Drosophila melanogaster: one gene and its partner. The protein of the gene in region 1 purifies or fractionates together with the protein of each later gene. This does not show direct contact. Each region holds a gene or a part of one and is shown on either strand. Other genes may lie near its edges.

The links.
Region 2: the proteins of PAPLA1 (region 1) and Sec23 purify together in Drosophila melanogaster (affinity purification with western blotting, with the first as the bait; one study listed by BioGRID). This does not show direct contact.

The regions. Positions count from the first base shown.
Region 1 is NT_033779.5:8,155,326-8,162,983, reverse strand, and holds the start of PAPLA1 (phosphatidic acid phospholipase A1), read left to right. Parts: upstream 1-3,408; 5' UTR 3,409-3,551; coding exon 3,552-3,765; intron 3,766-4,197; exon of another isoform or gene 4,198-4,272; coding exon of another isoform or gene 4,273-4,740; intron 4,741-4,804; coding exon of another isoform or gene 4,805-4,967; intron 4,968-5,035; coding exon of another isoform or gene 5,036-5,447; intron 5,448-5,727; coding exon of another isoform or gene 5,728-5,922; intron 5,923-6,233; exon of another isoform or gene 6,234-6,463; intron 6,464-7,078; exon of another isoform or gene 7,079-7,211; intron 7,212-7,380; exon of another isoform or gene 7,381-7,658. Other genes in the region: Acbp1 (Acyl-CoA binding protein 1), read left to right, coding at 659-673, 747-861, 921-1,063; Rbsn-5 (Rabenosyn-5), read right to left, coding at 1,252-1,491, 1,557-2,167, 2,226-2,892; CG43394 (uncharacterized protein), read right to left, coding at 4,273-4,740, 4,805-4,967, 5,036-5,447, 5,728-5,922.
Region 2 is NT_033777.3:5,646,300-5,654,865, forward strand, and holds Sec23 (secretory 23), read left to right. Parts: upstream 1-2,765; 5' UTR 2,766-2,938; exon of another isoform or gene 2,939-3,059; 5' UTR 3,060-3,082; coding exon 3,083-3,361; intron 3,362-3,420; coding exon 3,421-4,670; intron 4,671-4,732; coding exon 4,733-4,886; intron 4,887-4,954; coding exon 4,955-5,503; intron 5,504-5,681; coding exon 5,682-5,705; intron 5,706-6,081; coding exon 6,082-6,171; 3' UTR 6,172-6,330; downstream 6,331-8,566. Other genes in the region: MTA1-like (metastasis associated 1-like), read right to left, coding at 755-916, 2,198-2,225; elm (ethanol sensitive with low memory), read right to left, coding at 6,953-7,455, 8,357-8,423.

The DNA.
Region 1 (7,658 bases):
AATTCATGTATTGATGATGTCTAATATGGCCACATATGCTAGAAATCAATTGTATTTTGTGTATTTAAGAAGTAGTTATATATTAAATTTCCTCTTAATATTGATACATTTTAATTACTATGTACAACTGTTCAAAACGTTGACGTACAGCACATCATTACTCCATATGTTACTAATAGAAATCATGTTTCACGCGCCATAAGCCTCTCATTTTTGTTGCCACATTTGGAGAGAGCAGGACAGTGGGCTGAAAGATGTTCAATTGAGACAATCAACATTGGAAGGTTTTTAAAATATTTCGTTAATGTCTTGAAAATCTTAACGGACTATTTTGGATATTGTTCATATTATTCCATAGCTTTTTTCAAAACACAATTGTTTTGGCAAGAAACTGTCTACCAACTGTTACACATGTTCCTAACTATCATCGTAATAATGTATCTCAGTTCTCAATATGAAATTAGACTTCGAATCTTTTAAGTGTATAGGCTGCCAGACCCGCGAAATAAAACGCAACAGCTTGTCCACTCTAAATTGAAAAACTGTTGGTCACACAAAAGTATAGACCAGATATCGATAGACGCCGATAGATTCGGTGAAGTAAAATCGTGCAATTTCTTTTCCAAAGACTTCCACTAGTTAAAAAATAGATACAAAAATGTCCGAATTGCAGGTGAACTGAATCTACGTCAAATACGCATTCGTATCTTAAAGTCTGATTACCTATTCAAACTTAACCTAAACAGGAATTCAACCAGGCGGCCGAAGATGTTAAGAACCTAAACACCACACCCGGGGACAATGACCTTTTGGAGCTCTACAGCTTGTACAAACAGGCCACTGTGGGGGATTGCAATACAGGTGGGTCTCGGACATAGTCGTCACTCCGCTGCACCATCGATAATTCTAATCCAATGCAGATAAGCCCGGCTTTCTGGACTTCAAGGGCAAGGCCAAGTGGGAGGCGTGGAACAACCGCAAGGGAATGAGCAATACCGACGCCCAGGCCGCCTACATTACCAAGGTCAAGGCACTGATCGCTGCCGTTGGCCTGAAGTCATAGACTCAATCGAAATAGGATGTTGCATTTTATAGTCTCAGTTGTCGTCAAACGCACAAACTTTGATTTACAGAAACTTCGCACAAACTAAAATTTTTCGCACAATATACACCACAAATTCGTAACGTAACGTAAGCCATGTAATTTGTCATAGAGGGAATGAATATACATTTAACTATGTAGGATACTGCTTAGGCCTCTGTGGGTGAGGCGGCGGTGCTTCCCTGGGACTGGCGCTGTCGCTCGTACACTTCGCGCTGTAGCTCGCGAAGATTTAGCTCCAGCGTCTCCACCACCTCAAAGTTCATGTCCTGGCGAGCCTGTTTGATGTAGCCCTTAATGATGTTTATCTGCTCGATCAGCGGATCGTCCAGGCTGGACTTGCTAGCCGCCTGCGGTGCTGACCAGTTGTTCAGAGATTGAAGATCAGACTGTGAAGCAAATGGAATCACAGAGGTTACATATTGATCTTTGCAGAGAGTCCTCGTCTACATACCCCTTGGGCAAAGGATCCGCTTTCCGGACCAGGAACTCCAACGTTGGATTGGTTAGCTGCCATGTTATTTCGTTCGTAGGCTTCCATGGCCATGCGCTGTTCGGTGAGGATACGCTGCTCCGTTTCCATGCGTCTACGCTCCTGCATCTGGCGTATGTGCGATTCCTCTGGCAGTGGGGGCAGCGATAACATTCGCTCCTTGATGGCTTGGATGCAGCCCAACCGAATGGCCTTCTTTAATGCCTCCTCCCGGCTGCCTGGTTCACAAAATATGGCTAGAATGCGCTTGCTCCTCATGTCCATGGCCTCTGCCACTTGTCCAATCTTGCCGCGCAAAGCACCTGCATCCGCCAACGTGAAGATTGTGTCCCCTTCGTTCAAGCTATTGATGATCTTTAGATACATGTCCAGATCCGGGGTAACTTCTTTTTGTAGTTGACGAATTTGTTCGTAGACCTGGACGAGGAGTGGGCGACAAGTGCGACTTTCGTGCATATCCTTTCGGGTGTCCAGCAGCCAAAGGCAGTGTTCGCACAGCCGGATGGCGTTCTCATGCTGATGCAGCTGCTGAAGGGGCTCGCTTCTTGTGGTGGAAAGACTGGCTAGTTGCACTGCGGGATTATAATCAAATAAGTTACATTATTTTCCTCAATTATTGGATCTACAAACTGGCATCTTCCAGGGGCAGGAACTTGGAGCAATCATTGCACATTATGCCTCCGCACAAACGGCAGTGGTGTTGTCTTCGGGCGATGTGGAAACTCTTGGCACAACTGGGACACAACTTGACGGAACTACCATCCAGCCAGGCAACTGTTTGCTGTTCATGCTGACGCCGCTGCACTGAATCCGCTGGCAGATCCTTAAGCAGGCGGTGCAAACGAATGATTAGTTTGTTTGTTTCGCTGGCATATCGCTCCAGGCGAGGATTGCGAATGGACTGAAAGTACTCGAAGTGGGAGCACTCAGCACCAGGCTGCTGCCTGGCCATATAGTTAAATACATTTAGACGGGAGCGGGCATTACTGGGTCCATTGCGATCTCCGTTGCCATTGGGATTCTTGCCAGCCGCTGAAGAGGAGGAACCTGCGGGCGACGATACAGATGCACCTTTTTCATCCTCAAAGGGGTTTAGGATCTTCTTTTTCGCCTTGGTAAAGATATCTTTAAAGGATTTTAGGGCATCCTCCTCTTCCGCATGCTGGCGGGCAAAATGATCCGTGAGCACATCGATGGACTTGAGATCCGCACGGCAAATGGGACATAGGAAGCCCTCTAGTATCTCTCCACTGGCCGAGCTTTGATCTTCGTCGCTGTCGAAAGGATTTCCAGACATTCCGGCGATGAGTAATCGTAGTTAATTCGGTGGGTGTTATTTGTTGTGGTCTCCTCCCCAAAAAAAATTGACCCTAAGGTTTTCCACTTGTTTTAAAACAGTGGCATGACGGGGCTTACGGCACTTGTAGTCCTAAACTCGATTAATACGGTCAGAGTTTCTACAAATCCATTAATTTTATTTAAAAACTAATATTTGCAGAAATCATCAAGATTTATCTACTTCACTCTTCTTCTTCCCAAATTGCAATTCGAAATAATATCCGAGAATTAGGGCTGCAGCAAAAGCAATATTTGGCTATTTTTGCTGTTTATTTGGATTTTTGAAAATTTGTTTATGGTAGTCACGGAGATTTCATACTCTTTCCCAGTTAAAACTAGCTAGGAATATATATGTTATAAGCATATTTTGATTACCAGCTTTTGCCTATCCATTTCTGGATCCGCTGCAGCCCTGGTAAAAGCTTTCCATGGCGAATGGCCAATGCGCGGAAAGAAGCAGAATATTGCCTGCCTGGAAGTTTTCTCGGGTTTAACGCTTTTAATCCGTCGTGGGTGTCAATATCCTGTGTATAAAAATAATTCCTAAGGCAACTGTGCACTTGGCACACATCTTCATATCGAGTTAGCCCAATTTAAAGCTCCAGATCGGCCGCTAATATGTCGGAAAGATCGAAAGGTGACGTGTCCGCTCGCGTAAACAACAACGCAAACCAGACGCGTGTCGTTAAAAATCCGCTTCTGAGCGCCTCCGTGACCGGCCTGAGTTTCGACGACTTCCCCAACAAGCCGCAGCTCCTGCCAGCCGCCCCGCCCGTGGTCCATGCCACGCCTCCAGCGGCGCCCGTCCTCATCGCTGGCATCTTGAATCGCGGTAAGTGGGTCACCGTACGTTCGTGAATCTAACGCGGAGTGGGGGTCACCTGTTGCTCGGCTGCTATAATGATAAGCTGATAAGCCTGGCAAGGCACTTGACCTTCTTACCCTCTTCATAAACTGGGGTTGACTTTATCACGGATCAAGTTAATATAAACTACTTTCAGTGTATAGAGGAATGGGTCAGGTCAGCACTTATTTTGGCTTAAACAAATATGTATACCTACTACTAGCTGAACAAATATATAGATATATTATAATAGTTTTCCTAAATAAGACATTAGTTAAGTCCATTTAATCGTTTGAAATCACCGACATTGTTTATACTACTTTTTTTAAGTTGCACTTCGTTTCAGTAGTTTATGCAGGGACAAACAATTGTATCCTAAATATTTGCATACATTTAGTAAAACGGTGCCATATTGTATATCTGGTACTTCTATGGCATTTTATTAGACTTCGAGACCACATAGGTTCTAACTTGGCACAATAACATAACAACAATCTACTCCATGCTCCTAGTGGAGTGGGATCTATATGTGGGCAGCTCCAGCGTTGTCTTCCTCCGTCTGCAACACCACACAATGCTCCATATGAGGGCTGCAATAAGCAGGATCAGGAGAATGACTCCAAGGCAAATGGCTGCAATGGCGGCCTCGTTCAAATACACATCTCTGACATCGATGGTGAGGCTTCTCTGGTTCCCGGCCGCATCGAAAGCGATGAGTGATACCTTTGGTTCGCAGCAAGAGGCCATGTAGGTTGCCTTCAGGGGCTCTGTGCTACCAGCAGTATAATAGTTTCTGTAGAAAAGACCCTCTGGCGGCGAGGCCTGCAAACGCATCATGCCTGACTGCCAGTCCTGAGCGGTCACATCCACAGTCCAAAAACGTTCACCACAATTCTGGGATTCGGGCGTCAGGTAATCACAGCGGCTGCCAAACTCCCAGGATAGTGTAGGTCCAGTTGAGTCCTGGAAATTATATTTAAACATTTCAATTATGCTTTCATAATCAGGTTATCGGCTGTTCACATACCTGAGCATCTATGCTAGTCACCACTTTAAGATTTACCGCCAGAGTAGATGTTTCGCGACCGTAATTGGTGAAGGTAATCCGGTCTGTGGTGCCCTGAGCTGTGCCAGTGGGCACCAGAACAGTCAGACGCACTGTAGCCGTCTCCTGGGCGCGCAGGCTTAATCTACAAAGGCAGAAGTACGTAAGATATATAATGTGTAAACCAAAGACTTCGCTCTTAAGCGCTCCAACCTGGTAGGATTCAGTTGAACCAAGAAGCGCCGCTCGTCGGTGACTTGAATGGTGGAGTAAACCGTTTCCGTTTTCATGTTGGTGACCTCAAAGAGTAGCGTAGCTGTTTGACCAGCCATCACCAGCAGTTTCGATTCAATGCCCAACTCAATTTTTGTGCCACATCGCTGGAGAAGCATGGCATTTAGGGTGCTTCTCGACTGCCCAGTGCTGGGAGCTAAAAGCGTTTGATTCAGATTAGGAGAACTTTGGATTTCCTGCTCCGAAAAGGTTTCGATTTCGTTCTTCGGGGAGTCCACATCTTCCTCTAGCTTTTCCGTGTCCTTTTCCTTGTCGGGAAACTGAAGTTTGGCTGATTTGGCCTTTGTTTGTCCGGTTTTGTAGTAGCTGTCGATGCGTTTGATGATGTCGCCTGTGAGGGAAATAGAAAACAATTTCTAAATCAATTGCGCACACGTGTTTTTCTTGCCCTATGGAAATGTATCGATGATGGCGTCAACGCTGACGATTCCATCCAAGGTTGAAGCGCGGTTATCAGTAGAGATTCGTATTCATTGGGGCAAACGAAACAGATCACGGGCCCTTATCAGTCCGAAACCCAGTCTCAGAGCATTTAATTAGCTAACGGGGACTCAGTACTGTGTGGCAATCAATACCGCCAGGTTGTTTGTTATTTTGTTACTATAACTCACCCAGAAACACATCCGCTTTTCTTTCGGCGCGAACAAACACATTGTACTTGTCGTGCAGCTCGGGCTGTAACTTCAGTTTGAAAATCGACGCGCGTCGCAGCTTGTTTAGCGGTACGTAGGCATCAAGTTCTTGGTTATTTAACGTTTCCGTGACATTAACTCCGCCGAATTTCGCTAGTTTCTTCAAATTGATCTCTAAAAATTAGAAAAGCACAAAAATAAACAAAAGTCTAACAGCTGTTGACCATTCACAACGCAACGCGGACAGCTGTTACAGGTGTTTGCGCGGCGTTGCCAGACCATAGCATTGCGTACCACTTTTAATTAAAACATCATAGTTGTGCAATAAACATTCAATCTGTAAGCCATCAAACTTGTTTTTTATAGCCAAAATAATTATAATTAATGGACAAACATTAAATAAAGACATTTTGCGGTAATCTTTAGCCATTTGCGGGACCTTGGCAACCCTAACCCCGCAGCTGCGCCGTAGTTGTTGTGAAAGAAAAACACGTCTACAAAAATCCGCGAAAAAAACAATTGTTTTTCCTTGTAAAATTAGCAAATAACCTACGATTTTTGGCCGCTAAAGTGGTGACAAAGACGGATATTAATTGCCAGTCTAGATCAGTGCTGACGACATAGCCAGCCAGTGCAATACATCACCAAAAACTGGTCGCATTCTAAATTTGCCCTTGACAGTGATGTGATTTGCCTAATTTTGTTGTTAAAAAACGTATGTATGTATGTTATTTTAAGAAAATACCACATTCACAAAAGCTGAGAAAGATATTTAACCATTAGAGGAAAAAAAAGCTACCTCGAATATTCAAAAATGTTGACATCTTTCACATACCTCAAAGTATGTTAATGTTTATAAATTTACGATAAATACTGTGCAAAAGGGTTATTTTTGTTTGAGTTTTAAAGTACTCTTTTGAAAAGGTCACAATTCATTGGGAGTTGAGGCAGGCAGTGCAAAAAAAAAACATCCCCAAAAAATTGATTTTTTTGTTCAGGGTTTACATGTGAAGTACGTTTTTGTGTTGGTAACTTCCGGGTGATAACTTTGTTTATAATCGGCGGTTCCATAAGTTATAAAAAGATTGCAATACTTTCACCGAGTATTTTCAGTTTTGTGCGATAAGTCGCTGTTTTGACTACAAATGTTATGTTCCGCCGTTTTTGAGTCATAATTATTTTCTGTCTGACCCGTGCAATCTTCATTTTATTAGCTATACAATACAAACTTGGACTTTGTCCACTCGTTCGACGTGGCGTATGATTAATCTGGGGGAACGCTCGTTATAATTGATCCATTCTTCCAACCATTCTACGTTTTAAGTTAGTTAACAATAACATTTTGTGCCGGACAGTTGAAAGTGCTCCATAATTAAATCAAAATAGATATATATTAAACATACTCACCTTAAAGGACGAAACACAGAAAGGACTAGAACACAAAGTGCTGATACAAAGTTAAGGTGAAGTTCGAAAAACATAATTTAGCTGCACACGCAAAATATTCGATTTTAAATGGCTAAGTTGCATTTTAATGTTTGTAAGATAGCTGCTTGGCTAATTAGCTTATGACCATTAACAGTCACCATTTAAAATCGTTATCATTTGTGTGGCTTAGTGTTAAAAAGGTTTGATTTTTATCGTTTTCGTTTTATTTGTGTACCCTTAAAAAGCTAAAACATTTATTACTTTATAACTGTAAAACAGTAAACATATATGTATATAGAAAATTTCCTTTGTACTACAGTTTAGTGTCAAGTGTGGTTTTGTTGAGCATTATTATTATACTAGCGTTTTGGTTAAGGAAAGCGTTGGGACATCGGCTATATACAAGGATCAGCATAGCTGACTTGGGATTAGAGAGCAGCGATTGGTCGGGTGTTAGTCAATGATCTTACGAGCTAAGGACA
Region 2 (8,566 bases), on another chromosome or scaffold:
CAGCAACAACCGCATTACGGGTAGTATAGTGCAGCCCAGCTCATTACAGTCGAGCATCATTAGAGCAAACCGGTGGCACCTTAACGTATGTACATATGTATGCCTAAGGTTGAACTTAATAATTTACAGGCTATTTCCGCACCACGATGCGTGTTTATGTTCATTACCAGTTCCCAAAACACCTAGTTTCTATGACCAATATCTTTTTAGACTATTTGCTAAATGCTTTTTCTAATTTGCGACACGAATAATTCAAATTGCGCTACTGGAACGTAGATCAATGGTGCTTCTGGTTCGAAGTAGAGTGGTTACACTGCCAGTTGATGTGGCAGGTTGTTTGAAGGTTCCACTGCCTGTTTATGTGGATGAGTCGGATGCTGGACGAAATCCGTTTTCGCTCCGCCCTCACAGTTGTTGTCATTGCGGTTCTTGTTGCTCAGGAAGTTTGACTAGGATTGCGGGATGGGGTGGCACTGTGGGAGGTTGGGTGGTTCGGTGGGTGGCTTCGCTTTCCACATGCCTTGACACAGCGCACACAGTGGTGCCCCTTACGGGTTCATTTTGTTGTTGTTTTGTGGTGGGCATGTGCTTAGCAGATCTGGTCGTCAGGTTTTAACTCTTAACTTGTTTGAAGGCCACGACAACGACTCTTGGCAACATAACCTCACTTTGTTGACAATAAATATACACACTTAGAGGTAACGTAACGCAAGATATGGATGCGGTTTCGAGGGAACAGGGTTTCTCTACTCACGTTGGTGTTTGTCGGCCAATTGCACGAGCGGATTGGGCAGATCCCGGCGGCGGTAGAAGCACATGACCTTCGCTTCCACATTGCCGGTTTGGTTTTTGTTCAGCTCCTCGATGCGTCGTATTAAGTAGGGACTGTTCGGCGTTGTCTCAACGTAAACATAGTCTGAAAAAAAAACAGTTTTTGAGGTGGCTGATGCAAAAGGGTCAGAAAAGGGCATGGAAGGGTGGGGGGCTGCAACTCCATTAATACGTCACAGGTAAGCGCACACATACACCTATACACGCATCCACCTAAGTGCGACCACCACTACCAGCTAAAGCGCAATTAAATACATATGGGTCTATCCATCCATATAACTTTATACCTACAACAACTGCAGCGGAACCTGTCGTTGACTATTATAAAAAATAAAAGAAATTCCGTTTATCTGTATGTACATACATACATAGATACAAACGTCGTGTGCACTTCTGCTACATTTTGGGATGCAGATACACAGATAGATGGGTAGATAGATGAAGAGAGATGAAAAAGAAAGTGTGGAGGCAGCGAGAAAGCATTGCCGAAGGTGTGTAACTGTGTGCGTGGCCATTAAAAACGGCTAACAAAAAACGCCGATGGAGACAAAAAGTTCTCGGCGATAAAGAGCAGATAATTCGACAAGTATATATGCCATTAATATTTATTTTGATTCCGTTAATTGAAAGCTTGCGTATCCGACCGAGCTTATTTGCATTTCGAAAGAGCACACACACCCACACACTTGCGAAAATCAGGTGAAGACAACACAATAACGTCACCGCTCGAGCGCGAGCGAGATGGCTAACAGAAAGTGCGTCAGGCAGGGTGAGGAGTGGGAGGCGTGAGATGGGGGGAGATGCTCAAAAGCTCATTAGCATATGAAAACACAAAAAGGCGGGTGGGCGGTGAGCCCAAAAGTGAGATACACTTTCGCACATAGTCAAACAAACACACACGCTGGAGAGATCACAATTCGGCAAAACCAAATCCAAATGCAAATGCAATTCAGTTCCCCAGCCCTAGAATACACACACACGCATACACTTAGGGCATAAGTTAATGCTTATCGGTTGGAACACGTCGAAAACACTTGCTGCAGCTGCGACACAAGAGCAGCAGGGGGCTCCTTCAAAGAAGTTAAAAAAAATAGAAAAGGTCTCTCCTTTTCGACGGATTGTTCTTGAGATTGATAATACACGCACACACACACACATACACGTGCGTCGGGTCTCCCACTAAAGGGTTTTCGGCAATTAAAATGCACTTTCGTTATTGTTGGAAAGCCTCCTCAGACACAACACACACGCATACGCACACATTGGACACACACACACATATGCAGAAGCGAACACGCACACCGTGAAACGGCGGCGCCGATAACGAAAGATGATAGAAAAGCGAGTACGCGAAAATTTTTCTCACCTCCGACTCGATACATATTTGTGGCCATTTTCACTACGCTACCGCACCAAAACTTTCACATGCAAAACACTCGGCACACGCTTAGCACTGTTTTTCAATGGTCCTGTTCCAAACTAGCGCACATTTATTAGCAGAAAACTCGAGTTGTTATGATTGCATTTTTCACATAAGAAGACGCGTTTTTTTCGTCGCCATCTTAGAAACAACTCAACTCTAAAAAATACACGCACACACACACAATGCCGAGTAAACAGCTGCACCAGGGATGCACTCCACGGTGCGATAGTTTGGCCATCGATAGCAATCGATACATGGGGTGTTGGGTAAAAACTTAATGTTAAAATTTAGTTGGGGCGATAAGAAAAACGATAAGGGGCTTTTCTAGGAATACGATTTATATTTATTTATATTATATATACTTCTTGAATAACAATATATATCATTAAGAAAATTAACTGAAAAAATTATGGGCGAACCTTGTTTTATTTATCATTTTCAAAACATATTTATTTTCACCCTTTTTTTCTCATATTAAAACATTCATTCAATCGCATGGGGCGCATGCGATAGTATCGCTTGAAAACTGTCTTCCCTAACATGCAACGTTTGCACTTAAAATTCTGTAATAGTTCGTAGTCTAGGTTTCTACGTTTTGTACGTTTGTATAAATTGTTTCCAGAGTGAGTGCTTTGATTTGAAGAGCCTCTTAAAGACTCATCTCGCGAATTTGTTTACTTTCGCGTGAGTATTTTGGCCGTCGCCAGCACGAAAGGTGTCACGACTCGCTGTCAATCCGTGACGTGGCCTGACCGACCGATTTTTCCAATTGGCAGAGGTCTAACAGAGGTTTTTCCGATTTAAGTATTACATTTAAGTGTTCCGGCGATGACCACCTACGAGGAGTTCATCCAGCAGAACGAGGACCGCGACGGAGTGCGGCTGACGTGGAATGTGTGGCCCTCAAGTCGCATCGAAGCCAGTCGGCTGGTGGTGCCCCTAGCTTGTCTTTACCAGCCTTTGAAGGAGCGCCCCGACCTACCGCCTATTCAATATGAGCCGGTCTTGTGCACTCGCAGCAACTGCAGGGCCATCCTGAATCCACTGTGCCAGGTGGACTACCGTGCTAAGTTGTGGGTGTGCAACTTCTGTTTTCAGCGCAATCCGGTGAGCTCAATGGTGATCTTTAGACTCTCTGCGGCAGTTTATGACAGTCATTATTCCAGTTTCCCCCTCAATATGCTGCCATTTCCGAGCAGCACCAACCAGCGGAGCTGATTCCGGGATTCAGCACTATTGAGTATACTATTACACGGGCCCCCACCATGCCGCCCGTCTTCATTTTCCTGGTTGACACCTGCATGGACGAGGAGGAGCTGGACGCCCTCAAGGATTCGTTGCAAATGTCGCTAAGTCTGCTGCCAACCAACGCTCTCGTGGGTCTGATAACCTTCGGAAAAATGATACAGGTGCACGAGCTGGGCGCGGAAGGCTGCTCTAAGAGCTATGTGTTTCGTGGTACCAAGGACCTGACTGCCAAGCAGGTGCAGGATATGCTCGGAATTGGGCGTGGAGCGGCTCCGGGGCCGCAGCAACAGCAGCACCTGCCCGGCCAGCCGGCTGGAGCGGCGGCCCCTGTGCCGCCCGCCCATCGCTTCTTGCAACCGATCGGCCAGTGCGACGCGGCGCTGGGCGATCTGCTTAGCGAGTTGCAACGCGATCCTTGGCCGGTGCCGCAGGGCAAGCGTTACCTGCGCTCCACTGGTGCCGCCCTATCTATTGCGGTGGGCCTGTTGGAGTGCACTTATCCCAATACGGGCGGTCGCATTATGACCTTCGTGGGTGGCCCTTGCTCCCAGGGCCCCGGCCAGGTGGTCGACGACGAGCTGAAGCACCCGATTCGTTCGCATCACGACATCCACAAGGACAACGTGCGGTTTATGAAGAAGGCTATCAAACACTATGATGCTTTGGCATTGCGGGCAGCCACCAACGGGCATAGTGTCGACATATACTCGTGTGCCCTGGACCAAACCGGACTGCTGGAGATGAAGCAGCTATGCAACTCCACTGGCGGCCACATGGTCATGGGCGATTCGTTCAACTCATCGCTCTTCAAGCAGACATTCCAACGCGTCTTCGCACGTGATGGTCGCAACGACTTGAAGATGGCCTTCAATGCCACGCTGGAGGTGAAGTGCTCGCGCGAGTTGAAGATCTCCGGTGGCATCGGCTCGTGTGTGTCGCTGAATGTGAAGAGCCCGTCGGTGTCGGATGTGGAGATCGGCATGGGCAACACGGTGCAGTGGAAGCTGTGCACATTGAATCCCAGCTCCACCGTAGCCTACTTCTTTGAGGTGGTCAACCAGCATGCAGCCCCCATTCCGCAGGGCGGGCGTGGCTGCATACAGTTCATTACGCAGTACCAGCACCCAAGTGGACAGCGGCGAATCCGAGTTACCACACTGGCCAGAAAGTATGTGTTGGCATAAATCAGCCCAGAGTTTACTTACGTGGTTCAATCTGTTTGTTTTTCAGTTGGGCCGATGCCACCTCGAACGTGCACCACATCAGCGCTGGCTTCGATCAGGAGGCCGCCGCAGTTCTGATGGCCCGTATGGTCGTCTATCGTGCGGAGACTGACGAAGGACCCGACATTCTGCGCTGGGTCGATCGTCAGTTGATTCGTCTGGTAAGTTTTCAATGTGCAAAATTACTCGTGCCCAATTAATTAGTATTGTAAATGCTTTCCTTTTACAGTGCCAAAAGTTCGGCGAGTACTCAAAGGACGATCCCAACAGCTTCAGGCTGTCGCAAAACTTCAGCCTATTCCCGCAATTCATGTACCACCTGCGCCGCTCGCAGTTCCTGCAGGTCTTCAACAACTCGCCCGACGAGACCACATTCTATCGACACATGCTAATGCGCGAGGACCTCACCCAATCGCTGATCATGATCCAGCCTATTCTCTACAGCTACTCGTTCAACGGCCCTCCAGAACCGGTCCTCCTCGATACGGCTTCCATCCAGGCGGATCGCATCCTCCTGATGGACACGTTCTTTCAGATTCTGATTTACCACGGCGAGACCATCGCCCAGTGGAGAGCCCTCAAATACCAGGACATGCCAGAGTACGAGAACTTCAAGCAGCTGCTGCAAGCACCGGTGGACGACGCGCAAGAGATTCTTCAGACGCGCTTCCCCATGCCTCGCTACATCGATACGGAGCACGGCGGATCCCAGGCCCGCTTCCTGCTGTCCAAGGTCAATCCCTCGCAGACGCACAACAACATGTACGCCTACGGGCAGGTGAGTCTCGCAGCCAGCGCCATCAACTGGCCACATTTGATTGATCTTTGCAGCGCTCCATTTGGCGTCATCGAAAATTTAATCTCAATCGAAATCTCAATCTCGTTTTATGTTGGTTTTGTTTCTCTCATTGTATAATCCGTACCCGTATCCGTAACCGCTCCTTTGTCAATCGCAGGCGCCCATCGGTCAAGTCACGGTAGTACATATTTGTTTAATTTTCAACTTTTAAACTGGTGGAAAGGTGGATATTTGAAATTTAAGGGGCGGGTAAAAAATCTTTGGAAATTGGATATGTCCTTTGCTCTTGATAGCTATAAGTCCAAAATAAGTGTTTTGGATTTTGCAATAAATCTAAGATGGCCAACCCCACACGGCTTAATCTAAGCAAAGATTTTGTCTGTTCCTATTTTTTCATATTGTTTTTAATAATTTCAAACATGATTTATATATAAGTGGCTTTTGGTGTTGGACCCTTCTAGGTGCTTGTATCCCTTTTTCATTCATCCTCCCCTCCCCACTTGGCACGATCCCACCCACCCATCGCATGACTAATTTTCCGGACATTATCTCGACAGGATGGCGGGGCTCCAGTGCTCACGGATGACGTTTCGCTGCAGCTGTTCATGGAGCACCTCAAGAAGCTGGCTGTGTCCACCACCACATAAATCGACTCTGGCTCTAGTTTCAGGCGCTTGCTTCCCTGGCGAAGTCGAAGAAGGCGAACGACACCTGGAATCAATGGTCCAGGCAATGAAATTACGAATATACAACCACTTATTCCAATTGATCGTCTTATAACGCAATAAACTATTCAAATTATGTTCAACAATAAGTGTGTTAATCCGCGATGCTTTTATTCGTAAGCAGCTGAATTAGAATTTACGTTGAGCGGAATGAGTTTGTAATTATAAAAACAAGGCATTAACAAAATGAAATGAGCATCTCTTTCATTCTTCATAACAACTATTAATACAAGTAAATCCGACGGGTTCCTGAAACCTACAAGATTTGTAAAAATTATTTTTTTGTAATATAAGACAGCAAAAGATTTATTTATATTTTTATCATAAATATTTGATCAAATTTCCGGACGCATTTAACTTTTAGATACCAAGCAATTGGTTATATTTTTCTGTATTTCTCTAGCACCCGTGATCAAACATATGCATTTTTTGTTTAACTTGAATGAAATATCTTCGATAAGCTTTGGGCAAATTACTCAGGTTTAAAAAACTTTGCGACACTTTCATTTTCATTCATTAAATTGAAACTTCTAAATGGTTGGAAAACACAACTGGTATAATAAGAATAGCAACCACTGCTTTCAAATCATTAGAGTTTTCAGTAACCCGCCGGAATGCCTCTCGACTAACTGCATCCTAAACTATTTGGTACACACTGACTAAGAAGGTCGCTCTTTCCTCGTGATTGCCGCATCCAGCTAGCCTAGTTGAGAAACCGTATGGACATCTTCTGATCCACGTCGGTGCGGTCCAGAGCTTTGCAGAAGTCCTCGAACGAGATCTTGCCCTGGCAGCACAGGTCCGCCTCCAGGATCGTCCTCTCCGCAATGCTGACCAACTGGTCCTGGCTAATGTTCGCCCCGACCATCATGTGCAGGATGGAGAGCAGCTCGTCTCTGCTGATCACACCATCGTCATCCAGATCGTACATCTTGAAGGCGAACTTCAGCTTCTCCTCCCGGCTGTTGAGCTTACTTTGCTTGTTATCCCTCAGCGGCCGGAAGTGGGCCAGGACGTTCATGAACTGCCGGAAGTTCACCCGATCGTCGTTGCTCTCAGCGAAAAAGGAATGAACTATCCGCTCGCACAGCGGATTAATGGCCAGTTCCGGGATACGCATCAGATCCTCCCGGGACAAGGTTCCGCAATCATTGCGATCCAAGGAGGTGAAGCGCGAGTAAAGTCGCTCGATTTGGTTGGGGGTGACTGGAAAATAAAATTGATAAAAATTAACCAATCGATAATTAGTTTTGAATTAAATACAATTAAGATAGTACTAAAACATGTACATTCAACTGTAAATACCTATATGATATTAACTTTAATAAGCGATTTAACAGTCCGTCAAGTTAAATCATTTAATAAAGTTGTTTTTGTTGAACGACACTGTTCAGATAAATTACTTTTGCCATGGAAAACTCGAACGATACCTATTTACGAACAGTGTGGGCATGAGTCTAAGCCCGTTCGGAATTAGTTGCTATAAAATCTGGCTGATAAGAGCGAACGCCTTATCATCTTAGCTGATACTAGCTGGTCGAACATTGGATACAAGTTCCAATGCGGTGGCAATTTCAATTGTGCGCTTATCGCGCCCGGAATATTGAAATTACACGCTCTCGGACACTAGATAATTGCCAGCCCCAATATCGGTGATAGGCGTCGACTTTTGCCCCCACCCACCCCCGTCTCATATATACGTATATAACTATCGATGACGTCATGTGGGAAGTGCAGGTGCATTTGAAATGCAAATTGCTTTTGCTGCAAACCATCTGTCCATATACCGCTTATATAAGGCGGGCACAGATCGCTCAGACTCAGTTCTGCATAATTTGAACGGAGTTTTTTAGAACACGTACATATAGTTCGTAGATTTGGAATTTTTATAGAAATGACGAATCGAAACTAAGCGAATCCATTTTGGCAATCCATGGTCTTGGACCCGAAATGCTTTTAGCACTCCAGTGCGATGTTGTTGTTTGCATTGCTCGTGGCCCAATTAATTTATATCCAAGTGCGTATTTCGATTTAGTACGGCGCATTGAAAGTCTCCGGTTGAAAAAGCCCAAGGTTATCACACATCCCGACCAGAAATCGTACTCACAGCCAGTCTCCTCCTGGATTTGCGCGATCTCCTCGTTCCGCAGGAAAAGCGACGACTTATTGCCCATGGTGACGGTGTGTTGTGCGCCGATCGGTTTGTTTAAACATTCAACAATCGCAGACGAGCATTGAATGGCATTCGATTTGGATTGGACCACAAGTCCGATTTGTGTACAGGCTGAATGCAGGCGGAGTGACGGGAAAATGCCGA